Drosophila melanogaster: one gene and its partners. The protein of the gene in region 2 interacts with the protein of the main gene of each other region in a pairwise test. Each region holds a gene or a part of one and is shown on either strand. Other genes may lie near its edges.

Region 1 (6,040 bases), on a different chromosome or scaffold from region 2:
TTCATTTTCACCAAAAAAGAATTATAAAAAATGAACTACAAACTCCAGTGAACTCCAGGAAGAAACATGCATATAGACCACTTTAGGAAGAGCTTAAAAAATAAACCGACACGGAAAATCGTAAAAAGAAACTTTGCCAGCCAATGAAGCCTGAAGAGCAAATAAACTAAGAAATAGAATTCAAACAAAGAATCCAATTGAGCATTAAACTAACCGAATCGAAATACAAACACCAGACAATAGCAACATAAACCAAATGGCAAGGCGACCAGAAATAGTAAACTTATAAAAAACAAAGCAAAGTTGGCCAGAACCGGTTAAAGAAATTAAAACAAACCTAAATAAAATTAGCACCAATTAGCAGTAAACAAAAATAAATAGTGAAAATCGCAGAGTTTAGCTGGAAGCATCAAAACATAGTTGAGGTGCCGAAAGTCATTAAGATAAACTTAGACTGATCCAGTTTCAGATGAGTTGGTTCTTCTTGATTAGTTTAAAATGTACACGGTGAAAAATTACAGTGATTTAACGTAATTATATATATATATATATATATATCTAAGGTATTAAATAGGTTTATAAAGGAAATATTCGAAAGGTGCTTAAAAGTATGCAATAAAAACCATATCCTGGGCAGTAAAATATATTGCTGCAAGTTTTGTAAGAAAATTAAAAAAAACTTAAAACTATAGGGTATCCAGAAAATGATAGCCACATTTCCTGGTTTGACCAAATGCGAATGGAGAATGACAAGATTCTCACTTTTTAAGTGCCGTCTACCATTTGCGGGTTCATTTAACTTTGGCGCGTGTTCTCCCAGCGTTGGGCCCCTAAATGCACTTCAAGTTAATATGTAAAATAACAACAATATCGTATATACATACATATGTACATACATCATCGATGAGGCATACCCAATCCCGGCGCTCTATTGGTATTTTTTTGTCGGCCAGACTGACGAGCCATTGAACTTGGAGTGCGTAAACCCGTTTTTGGGATGCCTCGTTTGGCCCGATTCGGATTCGGTTCAGTTCGAGACCGGAACGGATCGGTGGGAACTTATTAAGCTAGGTCATGACGTGGTCCAAATTGGATTGACCCGAACCGTTCTGAAGACCCCGTTTGGCGCTACACTCAACGAAAACGGGTGGCAATTGAGTTAAAAGTCAATTATAAAGATTTTCGATGGCATTTATTATAAAAAAAAAAATGTTATTAATTTTATGAATTTGAATTAAAGATTTTCAAAATGTTGAAAATAATAATGATATATGATACCCTTTAAAATCCAATGAAAATGTGATTTTTTTTTTCTTACTGATTTAAAATTATGTATGGAACACAATCTTTTAAATTATTAAAGAATTGTCGAATGCTTTTAACGTGTGACGATTTTACCCGTTTGCTTTCTTTCAAACTTTCCTCTCGCATTTTATTAACCCCTTTACATAAATCGCTGATTTGGTGATCTTCATCTGGAGTTAATCAACTCCATTCGGATCGTATCATATCAGCCGCCTTTTCCCCAATCATAAATGCCGCTGCATTTGTGTGAGCGGTGGGTGGAAACGGTATGATACTGGTGTCCACCACCCGAAGTTTCCTCACTCCATGCACCTTTAGCTGATGATTGACCACGGTGGTGGGATCACTTTCGGCGCCCATGCGACAGGTGGCCACCTGGTGGTGCAGTGTGTAGGATAGCGTGCGTATGGAGCACCGCCAATAATCATCCGAGGCGAATTCGTAGTTCTCACAACCTGGCACCGGCTTGTCCAACAATCTGGTTCCAATCGCCTGCATGGCCGGCATCTTGGAGATTCTGAGTGCCTCCTTAATGCCCTCCAGCAAGTTCTCCACATCCGACGGAGCCGAAAAGTACTTGGGATCGATGCGTGGCCACTCGAGTGGATTGCGATTGTGCAGCCAGAGGCGACCCACGGAGGCGGGCTTGAAGTGCATGATGAGGAAGCTAAAGTGATCCTGCTGCCTCAACGTCAGATTCTTGTACATTTTCTCGTAGATCTCGGGCTTAAAGTTGGCTCCTTTGGCCAGGGCAGTGCCATCATCGCTAGCCAGGCTGCCGGCCACTTGGATGAGTTCCACATCGGGTTGGGTGGCCGGACTCTTGCCCGACGGCACCTTGATGAAGGTGAGCGTCTCTACGCCACCGATACTGGACAGAAAGGTGTCTGCCCGGCCCAGTAGAAACTCCTTGGCCACCGGTGCGCCCAATTGAGCGGCAAATAGAGTCTGGCCCGTTGTGTTGGTCACAAAAGTGGGTCCAAAGTGGCACATGTGATCGAACATTCTCTTACCCACTGGCAGTGCCTTGATCAGGGGTATTCCAATGGCCTTGAGGTTATCTTCTGGCCCAATCCCCGACAGCATCAGCAACTGTGGAGAGTTGAAGGCACCCGCCGATAGAATGATTTCCTTGCGGGCTTTCACCTTAAAGCTTCTGCCCTGATGGGTCAACTCCACTCCATAGGCGGACTTGGTGGCTGCATCTATCAGAACTCGGGTGACTCTAGCCAGTGTTAGAATGTGCAGATTATGACGCCTAGATCTTATGGGCTCAATATAGGCACGAAAGGCACTGTGCCTCCTGCCCTTCAGTGTGGTGGCCTGCACATAGGAAACGCCCAGCTGGGATTCACCATTGTAGTCCGTTCTCGGATGACCCGCCTCCTGGGCAGCTCTAATGTAGGCGTGTGCAAGTCGCGTCCGGTGTCGCACATCCTCCACACTCAAGGGACCACTGTGATTGTGATATGGCGAGTGCTCCAATCCCTGAAGCTGTGCATGCTCACTTCGCAGAAAGTAGGGCAACACCTCGTCGTAACTCCAGCCGGGATTTCCAGCTGCCGCCCAGGCATCAAAATCCCTACGATTGCCCCGATTGTAGATCATGTAATTGATCGAGCTAGTGCCACCCAGAACTTTGCCCCTCGGCAGGGCACACTTGTTATCGGGCATTCCACGACAGGCATGGCGTTGTGGCGTCGAGTTGTAGCCCCAATTGGAGGCAGTCGACTGCAAATGGGCCGCCAGTAATGGCACCTGATGCACTATGTTCTCCACTCCTCCGGCTTCGATAAGGAACACACTCCAATTGGGATTCTCCGAGAGACGAGCGGCCAATGTACAGCCAGCAGCTCCGCCTCCAACTATTATGAAGTCATAGTTTCTTTGGGGAACTGCAAGGAGATTTTAAAATATATGTGTTAAATCGATTACAAATTTTCCAGTACTAAAAGCATGGAACTCTCTGGCATAAATACGCTTATTATATTGGAGCACATATAGGTACTTGAATATTTCCATGATTTGAATAAACCCTCACCATCGCTGAAGAATGGCACATTGACGACATTTCCCAATCCCAGTCGCCGCAGTTCGTCCAGTTGGGAGCTCCTTTGGGAGTGGATCAGTGGGATCAGGAGCAGAAACAGAAGCTGGGTCAGCAGCAGCTTCTCCATGGTTGCGATGGCCGGTAACTGAACTCTGTGGCTACCGAGCTTTCCGTGATATTGGACCTCTACGTCTGCCAACGCACTGTGGAACGAGTTTTAAAAGTCTCAAAAAAATCTAGATATGTGATTTATTTTATATTTTACTATTATTGCGCTTTTTATTTATGGGCGTGGAAAGTTAGTTAGTGAACATTAATTGAAACTTTTATTATTTTATTTCAAATGGAACTTGCTCCACTGTGGATTATCTTGCCGGTTTGGTTCTCCCTCACTGATCTCTATACCCCCCTCTCTTTCGCGCCGCCTTTCTCCGCATCACTACGTCTTCTTTTTTTCCTCCACTGTTGAGATGAGTTGGTTGACTTGGTGGCCAGGTTTGTAGGGCCAAAACAGGCTGAGATTGTCTCAGAATTTTTATTGCCACTTGCTAATTTGCGCATTCTGCTTGCTCATCTCTACGGTCTTGCCTCTCTTTTATTTGCTGTTCCTCTGTCTCTTTTCTAATGCAGAAAACAAAAATTTAGATCATTTAAGTTTTGATTTGATAAAGACACCCATGGTAAATGGTTAATTTCTTCAGCAATTTGTAATTAGTTTTTCTTAAAATTAATGATTTTTGCAATATTTTAAATACATATATTATATACATTAGTTTTCTCTCTGTGTTTCTTCTGCATCTGAGCTCGGTTCAATGGCATTTGGATGGGCATCTTGTGCTGGCTTTGTTTATATTTTTATTTTTTATGCCGGACTGTCAGTTAAATCTTTGAAGATTGAAGCACCAGCGGCTCGGGCACTCGAGGGTTAATATATATTTCAAGCCACCCCATAGAGTATTATAATCAAGAAAAAACCAAAACAAAACAAAACCAAAAACGATTAAACGACTTTAGGTCTAGCCAAAAATAAAAAAATGTATAAAAGGGGTGGCTCAGTGCAGTTGGTATCAACCCCAGCATATGGATGCAGTTCATCCAATCCCACAATAAAAGTCATTGGATGCCCTTACAAAACCAAAGCAGCCGAAAGGGGAACATGAAACCAAAATGTGAACAAGACTGGGATTTCACAGAGGACATTGATGTGAAATTCGGAGGAAGGGCCATGTTTTGGTCATGGCAATTGCATTCAAAATTTGTCTCTATTGTGTTCGCCTTTTTCTTTTTTTTTTTGAGCGGCTCAAACCGCCCCCTCGATTCATGAATATTTCAATTTGTGTTAATGAAAAGTCTAGTGACTTTTTTCGAAAGGAAAGGGAAATGTTTTCATGAGTTTTCAATGGGAAATAGGATAGCCTATAGCTCACTCGGTATTTAGTCAAAAGTAAATGAAATAAAATTTGTGCAACAAATAAATTGAGTTGTACGTAAATTGCCTTGTTTTCTATATGCACATGTAAGTTTATAGAATATATGTGAATATATTAAATTTAATAAGCACTGTCAAAGGCTAGTCACGTAGTGACGAATGTGATTTAGAATCACAAGCCGGCTTTGAAATTCTTCGAAAAATATAAAATCCAAGAGCTTTAAGCTGAGCTCAAAGCTTTTCGTTTCATTTCGATTTGAATAGAATTTTAATATAGCCTACCCTTGGGGATATTGAAAGATATACTTATACCAAAGCAATTATTCTCAATTTTCGACTGATTTATACCCACTCTACATACATAAATAATTCTAAGGTCAAATCGATGCGAATTATACCAAGATCAATCCAAAGACTCAGCACCGAAAATTGCTTGAACAAAACACCTAACAAATTATTCACACCGGCTAAGTTCGTTAGACAAGATAAAAAACGAACGCAAAAAAAACGAGAGTGATGAATAAAAAAAAAATCATTTCCGCAACAATAAAAAGATCGAGAGAAACTCAAAAACAAAGGCGTGTAATAAATCAAAACAAAAAATCGTCAAACAAGCGGACAACTTCATGTATTTCACAGATTTTGATTATGAAGCCACAAATTGATTAGCATGAAAAGTGCCAGAGTTGAAAATCCCTATTGATATAAATGAGACAATGCCAAAGACAGAAGTCCAATAAAATTCAATGTCAAAGTCAAATGGTTTAGGCAGTACGAATTTTTTGGGCCTATAACTATTGTTATTTTTTCTGGTATTCAAGGAGTTGGATAGTTAATCATTTTAAAATTCCCAAAGTCAAATATGCATTCTATAGAGTTCATATAGTTCAATAATTCTGCTTGCATAGTAAACGAATTTTGTTTATATAGTACATACAAAACTTATAATCATTTATTTATGCTTATATAACTAAATCTTAAACTAGAATCAGTTCAGGCAAGAAAGAATTACTACACATAATAACAAAAAGTTTTCGAAGGCCTTAACTAAAACTAAAGCCCCATTTTACACTGGCCATTGCATTTAAGGTGTGATTTAACGAGATGATTCGATGGTAGGCCAGTGTAAATGGGGCTTAAACCTGATTGTGTAATTAACTTTGGGCTAAGATGGCTTCACTGGATGAAACCATGATCCTGTTTAATCATATCGGCTGCCTTCTCGGCAATCATGAAGACGGGTCCATTCGGATGTC
Region 2 (5,985 bases):
AATATCTTGTGGCTAAACTATGGAAACTGTGCTCGCAAATAACATGGACTTGGTAGAACGACGTCAGAAACCGATGTACACGCAAAGTTGCCAACTGGAAGGAATATTTCTAGTAATGGTGAAGTTTTAAGGGTTCCCTTAAGTAGGCTTGCCTATAAAGATATATGTCAGGAAATTTTTCGAAAAGCCAGTAACTTTCATTCGTTCGCTAGAAATCTGGGAGTAACTTCTCACTCGCAAGCAATCAAATAATTTCTTATTCCCGTCTCAACAAACGGATTAAAATTTACTCATGTGGCCCACACTTCGTAAACCCATTGGCAAGTTTAGCGGGCCGCTGATGCGTTATGGGAGTGGATATCCAGGCGGCTCTCCTGGGGCGGTAGTTAATCCAAGGTCAACACGCAGCTAACCATTCTAAGAACTTACAATTTCCCTCACAGAACTTACCCTTTGGCTTGGATAGTCCAATGCGTTTCACACTATTTTACCTAATTGCGGGAGTCGTGGGCTTTGGGGCTCCGTTCCTAGTTATTCGCCATCAGATGCTTCGTAATGTAACCAATGATCCGTAAGTAATCCGAGTAATCCAATAAAATCGTATCGTTATTAATGTTTGCTTTACAGCAAGGATGAGTAATCCCAAAATGACATAGAACACTCGTTAATAAATTAATAAAAATACATTGCACATGGAATTTATTGTCGTACATAATTTGTAACACTTGGCATGGTTTTCTTTACATTAGCTAAACATAATTTTCGTTCGAAATATCAGTACAAAGACCTCCACTGGCGGCGATCAAGGAAATTCGTTAATTAACTAAGCTTTCACTGGGACAAACTACAGTTCCTCTTTGCCATCAAAGTCATACTCCTCCTGGACCGGCGATTCGTCGCAGTAGCTCGCTTGTTCTGAGCAGATCTTGATGTCTAAATCGTTTCCGAGCTCTTCGGCCTGGAAGGCTTTAACGAAGATCTCATCGTTGTCCTCCAGTACTTCGTTGCAGAAGTGCCCCAGGCTTTTGTTGAGATCACCATCTTGCACAAAGTCAACCAACGAGGAGTCTGGGTTCATCTGACCATTGATGATCATCTTGAGGAGTGTGAATTTCCCGTTGCTCTTGTAGGTTGCCTTCAAGTAGTCGTCCATTTTTTCGCCTTAGAACGGGAAAATATTAGGAATGATAAGCAAAGTGTTATCATTAATAGAATACCACATATAACTATCTTCATTGATAAACAATAGCTACGCTCGAAGGTAAAACTTTTGACTAACGTCAAATGTTTTAAGATTAGACTGGTCTTTATCAAGCCTCTATGCTATTCCGTACCATATGGTAATAATTACTTACAGATCTTCTCCATCAGTTCGGTAAGGAACATTTCAGATTTCACTAGGCGAACTTTCTTGCTGATCGAATTTCCCTGTGCGTCCAGCCGGAATCCACTGACATCGGCCATCTTGTGGGGGTCCTCCTTGGCAATGGCCTCCTCCAGTTCCGTAACCACGGCCTTGCACACTGTAATTTATGGAACCTCAATTATCCGGGCTCCCAGGGCCAGCCAACAAGTGCACTGCCGCCTGTTGCTGGCGCGCTGTTATGTGTGGATTCTCCTTACCGTGACACTTGACCTCGCGGGAGGTGAAGCTGTAACCTTGGGCCAAGGCCAGCAGGCCGAACAGGATAAGCGCCTTCGTCAGCATCTTTTTAATTGATTGTTTAATAGTTTAACGCGTGGAAACTAATTGCATTAACCACGTCAGCAGAAGCGCCTTCCGTTTAAAAGTGCGGCGTTGATAAAGACGTGTGCTGTATTTACGACGACTTAAGAGCGACGTGGTTCTTGATGCTCTGCAGCGATAAGTGAAGAATTCTACTTAATTTATGCCCAAGATGTGGTGACGAGGGACGCGGTCAGTGGGTCTGGGTCAGCGTTCACAAGAATTGTGGTAAACGTTTTAAAGAAACCTTATTGATAATACCCGGCTATCGATAGAACTTTTCTAGCTAACGCCAGTTTTGGCTATCAAATATTTTTAAGGTGACCATCTCTACCTATTTTAAGCTAAAAATGAAATATGTGTACTTGTCGTTAAGAGATTTAATTTGATGATTCACATAAAATGATGTCGTTTAACATTTGTAAATCGTTTGAACAAAAAAAATATCGATAGTCAAGTGCGCGCGTTAATTCAAATCTTGATCGTAGCACGATGCACGTTGAAATGTTTAAGTTTGGGGGAGAGCTGCATTATATACATATGTGCATCTCAATTCTCGTATTCTCTTAGCTCTAGATCGAAAACTTATGTACATTAGCCGATGTGCTACTATATAGTGAGCCGATAACTGAAGAGTCAGTGCAAATGGAGAATCGCTCGCGAGTGGTTGCTCTGTTTTCGGATCGAGATGTGAGGACGAGGGGTTCGCGTAATTAACCGGCAAAGCGTTTGTAAATTAAAAGAAACCCACAAGTCGGCCGCGTTCCTCGATTTCTACATACTCTTATTAACCATTATAATTGGCGTTAATTAAGTGTCGTGTTTCTCTCTCGGCGCGTGTTTCTCTTCCCTATTCCCCTTGTTCGCTTGCACTGATGATCATTTTTCTTGGCGTCTGTTTGTTTGCTCGGTTAATTGATAAGAACGAATTGTAGTCGTCGGACTTGCCGTATTTATAGAGCAATGCCGCAAAAGAAACGGAAATGCAATGCAAATTGTTGCTATACCTTTTAGCGTAGGTTCAATTTTTTGACCCTGCCAAACGGAAAGTGGCATTCGCGGGCTACGAGATAAGCGATCGATGATAATTTATTCAGCTATGAATGAGTTCGAGAAGCACCGCAATCTTAAATAGAAAACACATAGATTTAATGTGGATTTTATTTAAAAATATATAGAAAAATATATATCTCCTTATTAAAATCAAGTGCAACGGCACAAACCTTTAACACAAACACCTTTAAAGCCCTTCTTCGAACAGAGGGAATTGCACCGCTCAATGCAGGACTGTCGCCTTGGGCGGACATGTTCCTTCGCATCCTGGATAAGACTCCTTTGAAGCTCCTTTTGCAGAAGTCTATTCTCGGAATCCTTCGGAATAGATCGAACCTGCATTAAGCAAACCGCAACTAGAGTTAGCGCCAGAATAATCGTGATCTTCATGTTGTGATATGAAATCGAGAACTGTTCCAGCTCGTTCAGGTTGCATTCGTGTTTTATAGTAAATTGAAAGGCTGCCGGTTTATGATAATGAGTATTTTTGTCGTAAGAATAGAAAATATTATTGTTTCTTTTCAAAGTTATGCGGAATAAAGTATATGCGAAAGCTGTTTCCGTTTGTTGCTCAGTTAGAAACTGACTAATTATGCCGTTATATGACATTGTATGTTTGGAAACTACAGCAAAAGCTTTATGTAACCAAATTATATTAAAGTACAACGCAAACAATCGATGGGAGAAATTATACAAATTTAAAAAGAATTTCAAATTTGTATTGCTTTTTTAAGTAAAGTTTACTGAGCTTAATATTTCTTTATTAAAATCTGCCTTGAATCGCCATGAAGACCAATAACTGCTCCCGTTAAGAGCTTTTTTAAACAAAGTAAATATATACGTATATATTTGGTATATATAGATCGTGCTCCTCGGGACCTCAATTTTTTTTTTAGCTCGATTAGGTTTAGTTAACTTATATGGTAAGTCGCTAACGCTAATGACCGATATTTTGTTGTACGAATTGGTAATGATAAACGCAGATTATTTTCACAGACTAAGACTAAGGAACATACACAAGGAATAATTAAGTCGTTCTTCTATGACTTTGAAAGTTATAAAGCCAAAGAAATATAAAATATTTTGAAAATTTTCTGTGATCAATATTTATTATTAAAATAGTAGCTTAACTATTAAGAAATTTTTACAGTCCCAGTTCCTTCTTACCAATTATTTCCATAAAAAGTAATTAGTAATAATTACAAATCATTATAATATTTAAATATCTGTCGATTAAAAGGATCCATTTATATATAGAATTTTTCAACGTTTTGTTTTATGTGTGACACTTAAAAAACGAAAATTTTTGGTGTACACAGAGCGAAACGAAATCAATTGCGGCAAACGCAGACGGCCTTGTCGTTGCAGTAGCCGCCTTTGAACCCCTTGGCAATGCAGTGGCCGGCGCAGGCGGTGTGGTTCCAGTTCCACTTGGAGAGTAGGTCGCATGTGGCTCGCTTCTGGCGGCTATGCTGCAGCACCTCCTGGTGGGCATCCTCATGCACCAGGACATGATCCTCTGGAATTGGATCCACATCGGAAACTGGCTGAGCCTGCGCCACGCAAGCAAGCAGAGCAAAAGCGATAGCCACGAGAACGAAGAACTTCATCTTGGAATACAACTGGAGAGATACTGTTGTTGCAGATTGTGGTTTCGCCGAGCTTATATAGCAATGCGACGGGCTGATCGATTCGGCCCAGGGACTCCCACCCGGTGACTTACCTTCCCATTGTCTCTTTTTCTGTGCAGGAAGACACGTCTCGGGGGTTTTTAATTTTTAAGTTCACTGCAAATGGGAGAAACCGTTGTCTAGATCATTATTTCATGTGCTTTGCCTGGAAAATATTGACAATATTTCATAGATAAGAGCAAAATACAGCCGACAGAGCCCGTTTCTGCAATAAGTTATTTGCATTTCTAGGGATTTTAACTGCCTTAAATTTTAGGCAGTAAAGTATATTCCACATGACAAGTTAATTGTAAAAAGCAACATCTACGAAATTAACCATTTCAAATTGTTTAGGCCTTACTTGAGAAAGAATCTTTGGTTTGCGAAATATGCAGGATATTTGTATATATGCAACGTTGATAAAAGCCTAAGTAAATATGTGCCCTTTAGTAGCATCCAATTTCGATTTTATTACTCCCAAACTGTTGAAATTAGCTGATGTAGGGGAATCCATATTTAATCATCTGAATTTCTAGCTAACTGACCGATTGGGTGCCACTTTAAGGGCTATACTCACAGCTACACAGCTACACAGTTGGCTCAAGCAACTGAGATACTCGGTTACGGATACATAAACACATGCGACAATAAATAATTTCTACCGAAAAGTCTCTTCATAATGCCGGGCAAATAAACAAACAAGAATCACACAATGATTAGTTGGGCATACAGCGGCAGGGGCGGGTGTACTTGTATCTGAATCCGTATCTGCGCGTACGTGTATCTATATCTGTATCGGCATCTGCATCTGGTTCTCAGCCCAGTCGCGCTGAGCCGACAATCCCGATCGAATCCCACGACCGAGGCTTTTTCAGTTGCCCTGCTCCTTGGCTGGCCGTTGCCTGTTTACCTTTGTTATCGACCAGGTTGTCTTGTCTTGCATTTTGGCGTCATACTGTCTGCCAGTCCACTCCACTTGAGTTTCTACCCCGCCCCTTACAACCGTCTACAGTCTAGAGTGTTGCCCGCATGCCCATCTTCACACGAGGAGAAAATATCGAATCTTTTGCGTTTCCACAGAGAGTCTTTAATATCAATACATGAGGATTTTTTTGTAATATGTAAAGGCTTATAGATAGGTGTACGCATCAGAACTGCATATGTACATCCCAAAATCCAAATCTATAGATCCCTCAATATTGTAGAAGATTTGGAGTTAGCTAGAGTTGCTACTTCTGGACGAAGGTACTATTTACAAGTACAGGTATATTTTCCCCAGTGCATGCTCGATCATCGAAGAAGACCACAAAACGGAGTGTGGCACAGCCGAAAACAAAGTGACGGCAGGAACGGGGGTGTTCGGGGTGTTGGGGTATATCAAGTAGTGGGCAAGAGGGGGCAGTTATCGCCGCCGTCAGACTGTCTGGCAGGTTTCACACCGAATCGAAGACGGAGACCGGCAACTCCACTTCGTCTCCGCCTCCGCCTCCTCCATCCACCTAAAATCCTCTCCAGGCGAACTCCTTGGCCAGCGGC
Region 3 (8,404 bases), on a different chromosome or scaffold from region 2:
TTGGCTCCGGAATGACCAGCGCGGACCAGTGTCCCTTCTGGTGAGGGATGCCCAGAGACGGTCGGTGACTCCCACTGCTAGTCGGTGTATAGCTTTAATTAGGAACCCAAGTATTGTGAATAAACTTCTATGCTTAGCAATTGCGTATGCGGTTCGCATCTGTCGGGCGGATTTTCCGACACGGACTGAGTTAATTTTCAATTACGTGTGCAACGTGATAGACAAGACATCGGTGAGCAGTAGATGCCCTTCCAGGATGTTCGCTGTCAGGCACTGAAAAAATAGGGGGGTAGGTACTCACACCTACGCAGAGGAAATAAAGAAAATGGGATGCTTCCTTCAGTCGAAATATTTAACAGTGTGAGCGAGAACCTTTTTAAAAGTACAAAATGTTTCGACTCTGTTTGTGCACCTTGAACTTTTGCCGATTTCCTCTGCCGAAGAGCTCACGTGTGCTTTTCCTTGCTTGCCCACGGTGCGTATGTGTTACCCGGCGTGCTTTTATTTATTTGCTAATTAACACCCATCCTGCGCGGAGCAGACGGCAGCCCAGAGGGCGACGACCATCCAGAATCCGACTTAGATTCCAAATCCCGGCCCCAAGTCGGTGGTTGCACTGTGCAACTTGTTGAAGGTCGTCGCGCAAATCGCTCATACGCCGCGTGGGTCTTGAAGGCGCGTGGCAAGCGGTCGGTTTCGCCTGGCAACCGCATTAATGGGCCATTAACAACCTGCCGGGATGATAGCGCGTGAGCCGCGTGTCAAACAGCGGTCAGCCCCAAATCGTGGTTGTTTCCGATGAATGGGCGACCGTACGTTTGTCTTTGCCCCACAAATGGACTAGAAACGGGAAACTTGAATTGATTCTGCGATAAAGAACGTATGCCTCGAGACACTCGAGCTACTCATGTGAAATGGGGTGTGGGGCTCAGTCATCTAAATCAATATTCTGCGGTTCCAATTTGGTATGTTTCAGATTATTTTCTAGTTTCTTGTGAGTCAGCAAAATGTAAAGGATAAACACATCTTTAGCAGTCTGAATTCCAGAGCTCATCCAACGCGGCTACATTATGCTGAGTGTGGGCTATTGCGATATGGCCAGCAGTTCCTCTTTCCGTCGAACGGCTTATCAGTGCTGAATTTCATTCATTCATGTAATTCAAAGCGGCTGTGCATTATATTTGGGCTGGCTTATAATTAGTTTTAAAATAAACCGCTTGGCCAGCGGAACGCGGAAAGCCGAGTGACGCAATCGGAGCAGCGAATTGCGAATGGTGTGGTGTTAGTCGGAAGCCAGCAACAAACTCGCTGCTTCTGATCGCCACGGCGGTGCTCCACTCGGCTCGGCTGAGGTTCGTTCCTTGACCCCCGGATTCCGGCGGTCTTGCCCGCCACTCGGGGTTCCATGTCACGTGCGCTCGCTCGGCGGAGTAAGTATGTATGTATGTATGTGGGTCTGTGCGGAATTGATTGATTTGCCAGCGAAGGTGGCGCACTGGAAGACAGACAGACAGACAGACTGACAGACGGACGGACGGACTGATAGGGCTGATGAAATTACAAGTCGCGCATCGTCATTCAGACCGATTGTGGGCATGTTATGCGAGTAAACGGATTTTGCGGCAATGAAATAATTGCCAACATTACAGAACTGGTAGTGTCTAATTAACCCGCACTGATAAAGCGGGGTACATGCCGCCGCTCAGATTTTCAAAATTGCATGGCCCTGCATTGAGTGCCCAAAATCTGAAACCAAATATTCGCGTTCCGGTGTCGCCGACAGAAGCGGTGGCTACTTAGCAAGTGGAACCACTGCGTCCCCGTCCATTCCAGTTGGATATGGAACGCCAGCCACATGAGTTTATCATAAAGCACCCACTAAATTTTTGCCGCTGCTGTTGGCGACCACAATGTTTGTAAATGTTTTTCACCGTCGAATGGTATTTCGGGGATTGCTTTGTTTGTCATTTGGGGTATTTGCCAACTGACCAACTACTGTCCATCTGAATGATTTTGGTGTGCCTCTTTTGGCTTAAATAGCAATATATTCAGATACCAATAAAGGCACGTCTGATAGAATTCAGGCCACGGGAGCAATCCGTTTGAATTTATCGTATCATTGAGTTGTAAGCCGTTTTGGCCGTTAATAGCCATCGAATTCTCATATCTTCACTGGTCTGCCTAGAATATAAGTTATTGACATTCTAATCATTTTCTTGAGCCCATGATGATATTTAAAGTCTAGATTAGTTTACGGTTTAAAAAGCACTGAGCTTTGATGCTGATTCAATCAGCTGATTCTTAATTCGTGGTGATTGGCTTTATTATCAGCTGTGATATTCCGTAAAGCCGGCAAATGAGCCCTTAGATCGATGTAAATGTACTATGTTATTTGGCGCAAATAACCACGCTTTTTCGCGGTCTTTTGTTTACAAAATTAATTTGTAATTTGTTTATGAAGTTGTGCGTGTTAAATACTGTGTTGCCTAAAGTAGATCATAGTTCAACAAGGAAATCCTTAACAAAGTAAGTTAACTAATTTATATAAATAGCCGGCCTGTTTTAGAAAGCCCAAAAAAGGGTTAGAGAACGCTTTTGTCTTGAAAATTTGGAATATTTGGAAAGTATACCCTTCCCATGTAAACAACTTCAGCTTTGTGATAAAAAAATAGGCACTCCGTTTTGCTAAAAGTAAAAAAGCGCATTAAAACCAAAAATTAAAGATAAAATCGTTAAATATCAGGCAGTTAAAAGATGTATCCCATTATGGAACTTATCATTGTAGCTCTGTAACTCATCAGCTCCAGCTCTGCCACCTGAGCATCCGCAAATCTCAGCCCCTGATTTCATTTTATGGCTCTGTCGGTGTGAAAGTCACTTTGTGGCAAACTGCAAGCAAAGTTCTGCTTATCCCTGGGGTCCTGAATTCGGTTCGTTTTCGCTCCAAATTTCAGCAATAGTCAGATGAAGAATTTTCAGTGTGTGATTTTTATTGTGGCTGCAATTCGCCTGGGTCTTGTTAACATTCGCATTTTTCTCGGAAAATTCGTTCGGTTGCAGTATAATGATGATGCTGGGAGTTGATTTCGCTGAGTTACTGCAATAATTGGAATTTAAATTTTAAGGACTTTCCGTCAGCTGTCTTTCGAGTGAATCCTCGGTTATCCCTTCTTTCCAGAACCTTACATTTTACATCTATTGCACAGCCCTAATATTACCTACCTGTTTTCTTTGTTTCAGGTCACCTGGATATATATTTATAGCGGAAAGGTTCGCGAAAATAATTAAATATCGGTTAGCGCGAGGAAAATCCATCGATCCGACAGCTGCGGCTGTTAATCTTACCTGATCGCTGCTAGTTGGATTAAGGAAAATCTGAGGCAGTGGGTGGGCAATAAAATCTGCACCCAATCCATATTTTACCTGATCATTGTATATAAGCTATTAGCAAAATGCCAGAAAGCCACAGTTACAAACTGAAACGTCTAACGTCAACAACAAGACAGCAAACTAATACCAAAATGGTCCTAAGCAATTCCACGCCGAACAACCAGTCCAAGCACAACCAGATGGTAGTGGACACGGCAGCCATGAACAGTGATGATCTCAGCGAGCTACTGCAGCTGAACGCGGAGATCGAGGAACGTCGTCGCTCCAGCCGCCACGGAGATGCCAGCACCGCCTGTGGCCTGCTCCGAGCTACGATGACCAGGGAGGAACTCTTCGAGATTTCCTCGCTGGATGATGATCGCTTCCTGACCGCCCTGGAGTACCAAAACTCGTTTGCATCACCGCGCCGAGTGCAGGTTACCGACCTGGACTTGTCCAGCATCGAGAATCTGATGAAGTACTTCGACGAAGAGGTACCTGTGACGCCAACAAAGACACTGGGTACCACCAAGGCAGCGGGTAACACGGGTAAAGTGGCCAGCACAATTGCCAAGTTGGCCCTCCAGTCGGATCCGGTCACGCCGCCCAAGCCAAAAGTGGGTAGTGGCCACCTAAAGATCAGCGAGCTCAAGCAGAAATACGAACAGCTGCCGGAGATGGAGACGCCACGCTCTGCATATCAGGCTTCCAGAAAGGTATCCGCGTCGCTGCCCATGAAGGTCAAGGAGATGGCCCAGCTGTTTAACTCCAAGATCAGCCAGGTGATGCGACGTACAGAGGAACCACAGTATGTTCAGCTGCAAAATGAGATGTCGCCGGAGGTTAAGGCACAGAACCGCCTGGTGTCGCCATTAGAGTCCCCAGTTCAAGGACCCTGCCTGGTGGCCGAGGAAGTTTTCCGCGAGTTGAGCGTGAAGGACAAAGCCCTGCTGTTCAACAAGTTCATCGGTGACATGGCAGCCAAGCACCCCAAGTTCACTGCACATGCCGCAGATCTCAAGGAGAAGGTAAACAAACAGGTGGCACGAGGGGAGGTGGTGGCTGAACGACAAGCCAGTGTTAAGCATCTCGCCCAGGAGTTGGAAGCGAAATGTATCCTGGAGCCGGGATCGCCACCGCGACCAGGTGGTGTCTCTCCCCCCAAGACGACTGAGAGCAAAACGGAGACATGCACCTCCCAGCTGCATGTGAGCACCCTGACTGTGATCCTCAAGCCAAGTCCAGAGCGCAGAGCTCCACAGCCACGACCCCGCCGATGCCTGGATCGTCAGAGCGATGAACATGCCCGAGAGCCATCCCAGAAGCGAAACCTCGCCGCGATTCGCACCATGATGCCAACGGAGGCCTATGCGCCACCAAAGAAAATCCGACGCACTCGACAGGAGCGCACCGGTGCGGATAGCCAAATGTTTTTTCAGAACGAACACCTCGAAACCCTGTTCTACAGCTGGCTCAGCTCGGAGAACGGTGTCCAGTTCGACATTACGAGTGTGTCTGACGGTCAGCAGACCATTGAGATAGCCACCGAGGAGGGTAATCTTCTGGAGCAACCGCTACTTGAGCCGAGCACCGCTACTCTGGAGGATGTGAGCCAAAAGTCCGCCGTCGAGCGGCTTCTGGAGGAGGCCATCGCAAAATTAGAGCTAGATAACGAGTCCAAGAAGGAGACACAAGTCGAGGAAAAGAAGGAGATGGATACAGCTCAGGATCCCATCGTTCAAGTCACTCCGCGACGCATTAAGCGCCAGGCGCCGCCAGTGCCAGCCCCACGACCCAGTCTAAGTCAAGTTACCTCCAGTGCATCCAGCTGCAAGCAATCCGAGGCTGAGGAAAGTGAATCCGGGTTGTCTACACTCCCCAAGGTAAGTGATATCTTTAATAAGTGGATTCATGAATGTTGACTCATTGTTCTTAATTTTCTATCACAGATAACCAGCGACGAATCCCAGCCAGAGACGCCCAAGGATGACTTGCAGACAGGTGAATTTGATTTTGCCAAGCCCCAGCGTCCGCCACGCAAGAAGAAAATGCGCCGAACTCTTACATGGAAAAAGGAGAACTCCATTGTCGAGGCCACTGCAATAACCTCAACGGACTCCGATTCAGATTACAAGCCTCCGCTATCAGGAGCGGCCAAGAAGAAGTCCGGTGCTATCTGTAACCCACTTCCAATGCCCGAGCCAAGTTTCATTGAGTTGGATAAGTCACTGATGCGCCACTTGAACTCGCCCCGGAAGATCAAGTCGGCATACACCCTCACCGTGATGTCATCTCCCTCGCCGAATGCAGACAGCGATCAGTCTCCTAGTCAGACACCAAGGCAATCCCTGGTACAGGCCATGCGGGACAGTTTCGTGGATCAGGGCTTTGAGACATGCTCGAACGATCCGATGGACAACAGTCCGATACGCCGATCTTCGCTTGGAGCCACGGAATCGAAGCCATCCGGTTTTTCCACGCCAGTTAAGGGACGCCATGCTTCCAGTCCGGCGCAACAACAACTGTTCAGTCCGATTCTCATCCAGGAGCGCCCTCGTCGCAGTTCCCTGGCCATGCAAGTGATCCGGGAGGATCATCCGCTCGATCTGGACGCCACCTCCAGCTCACCCTCCACACCGTGCAGTGAGCGGGAGTTCTTCGCCAATGCCCCGACTGTTGAAATTGATAACTCCCAGGATGAGAGTCCGACCGGCAAGGCGCACTCAATGTTCTGGATCACCTCTGGGGACTTCACAGTCTCCCTGGAAATCTTCAAGAACAGCCCGGAGCGCCTGCGACTGCTGTACGAAATCTTCACCCAGAAAAGCTGGGAGACTCGTGACCTGGCCTTCGGAATCGACGGACACAAGTTCATTCGCGGAGCTCCCAGTTCCGACTCCGTCCGACAGTCGCTGCCCGAGCGTCCACCCAGTGTGAAGGGCTGCTCTCACTATTGGTTCGCCAGCGGAGATCTCGCAGTGCCCTTCAGCGGAAAACTGATGTCCAGCGAGAAGATCGAGCGGCTGTTTGCCTTCCTCAGCGGAGAGCAGTCGGAGTTGCGCTTCGGCGTTGACCACATTGAGTTCAGCAGCGTGCCTGAGTTCTGGCCCACCACCCAGAAGTATTCCATCGAGAGCAGCTACAGCATACTGGTGGGTCTGCAGACAGGTGCCAGCAATGGCCTGGAGGGTCGCAGCAAGTACTCCTGGCCCAACAGCAGCATCAGTGCCAACCAGGCGATCAAGACCAGCGACCTGGATCAGACGGAGTTCGAGTCCGATAGCTTCGGCAACAACAGTGGTAGGCTGTCCTTTTCGCCTGATCTCTTCTCCCTGGACTACGAGGCGGTTCCCCTGGACGAGCTGTTTGCCAAGGCTCCTCCCTCTGCCGCCACACCCGCCATGTCCGTGCCGCAAATGATGCAGACCCTCAAGCAGCAGCAGTCCAAACTTCGCAGTGTGGAGCAGCGCATTCGTGGCTACGCCAAGCCCGCGAATCTGGCCGACTCTTCGCTGGAGCACTGCCGCAACACGCCGCAATATGTCCACAAGCTGCGCTCCATCATCCGGGCCATTGACAACATTGGACGCGACGATGGCTTCCGCGGCTGCTCGATGGAGCAGCTCGAGAGCTTCATGTACTTCCTCAGCGAGTATGCGGATGTGTGCCTGGCCAACTGCAGCGAGCACATGGACAAGATTCTCGACACCCTGATGGACCGGAGGGCCGTGGAGGTCTGAGCGATGGTGCTACCTCATCGGGATCTGACTTTATTTTAAGATTTTATAAACAATTAGTTCCTAGACATTAACATATAATGTTACAAAGATTTTAGATAATAAACTTTAAAGAGAAAAGTTAAAGCCATTCAGTGTATTTCCTTGGGCATGCAGAGTCCAACAAAATCAGGGGTTCTGGAGGGCATAGCTCCTTGCTATCCTGCAGACACGTAGGAGTCTGGCAAGCATCACGTTTCCTGCAAGCACATGGTTTCTTTTTCTTGCTCTCATCAAGCAAATGCTCCTGTTGCATCAACTTCAGACATTCCTGGCCAAGGATACCATGTTAGTGCACATCCAGTGGCCAAGGGAATCCGTTTGGGGCCAAAAGGAGTTGCTGGGTTCGGTTCAATAACAATTTCACGTGCAAAAGTGCTGCGCAAACATGGTATCAGAGAAAAGTACTAACTATTAATGCAATAAATGGTTACTTGTTCAACATAAAATAAAAGTCCCGTCGACATTCTTTTGACTTTCAAATAAAAAATAATAGTTATATTTTTGCACAAGTACCACTGGTCAATATCAAGAACCACAGATTACTGAAATAAAAGTCGCTTAAGTTTTAAGAAGCAATCCCAAATACATAGATATTTTATTTGTTTCTTTCGCAGTGCCAGTTTGTTCCGCTCGGGGAGCAAGTTAATAAATATACATTATCACTCTTATCGTTAAGAAACACAAACTAAGGCCTATGATATATGTAGGTATTTAAATATATATATATATATGTATTTCTGTATGAGTAGTTTAGAACTTACATATTTGGATTTGGCTTTATTTGGATTATTTCTCAACTGTAAACCCGTCTTAACTGATCAGCTAACTAAATTATGTATCAACAGTTTTCGCTTCAATCGTGAATATTCGTAATTCATATTTGCTTAGTTACTTATTTAGGTTAATGGTTTTTGATTAATGCATTTTAGGTGCCTGTTTTTCAGAGTATTTAAGCCTTTCGCTTTCCCGTTAAATATCTAGTTTTGAAATGGTTTGATGCCTACTCTCGTACAAATGAACATTCATTTCTAGTGCCTATAACGAGTACATAATTTACAATTGCATTTGGGGTTTTATCCATGCATATACGCGCTTATTTACAGTTGGAGGTGAGTGAGTAGTGCTCTCTTTTTAACAATTTGGCATCATTCGAAGGGTATACTATTTTTTCCCACTTGTATTTATGCAAATTAATTGATTTTATATCTAACTAACCAGGATTTATGTGCTTTGGTTTGCATCGCATGTTTGCTTTG

Evidence for each region.
Region 1: the proteins of magu (region 2) and CG9522 interact in a two-hybrid assay, tested with the Drosophila melanogaster proteins (one large-scale study listed by BioGRID).
Region 3: the proteins of magu (region 2) and slam interact in a two-hybrid assay, tested with the Drosophila melanogaster proteins (one large-scale study listed by BioGRID).

Annotation. Positions count from the first base shown.
Region 1 is NC_004354.4:14,845,297-14,851,336, forward strand, and holds CG9522 (uncharacterized protein), read right to left. Parts: upstream 3,513-6,040; 5' UTR 3,483-3,512; coding exon 3,347-3,482; intron 3,201-3,346; coding exon 1,486-3,200; 3' UTR 1,176-1,485; downstream 1-1,175. Other genes in the region: CG9521 (uncharacterized protein), read right to left, coding at 5,961-6,040.
Region 2 is NT_033778.4:10,050,179-10,056,163, forward strand, and holds the start of magu (magu), read left to right. Parts: upstream 1-2,362; 5' UTR 2,363-2,457; exon of another isoform or gene 2,458-2,817; intron 2,818-2,916; exon of another isoform or gene 2,917-3,215; intron 3,216-3,999; exon of another isoform or gene 4,000-4,110; coding exon of another isoform or gene 4,111-4,389; exon of another isoform or gene 4,390-4,398; intron 4,399-5,985. Other genes in the region: COX7CL (cytochrome c oxidase subunit 7C-like), read left to right, coding at 293-382, 444-571, 628-640; sel (seele), read right to left, coding at 845-1,161, 1,356-1,523, 1,624-1,708; Def (defensin), read right to left, coding at 4,111-4,389.
Region 3 is NT_033779.5:6,370,056-6,378,459, forward strand, and holds slam (slow as molasses), read left to right. Parts: upstream 1-2,332; 5' UTR 2,333-2,526; intron 2,527-3,240; 5' UTR 3,241-3,521; coding exon 3,522-5,252; intron 5,253-5,318; coding exon 5,319-7,109; 3' UTR 7,110-7,229; downstream 7,230-8,404. Other genes in the region: Nepl4 (Neprilysin-like 4), read left to right, coding at 1-44.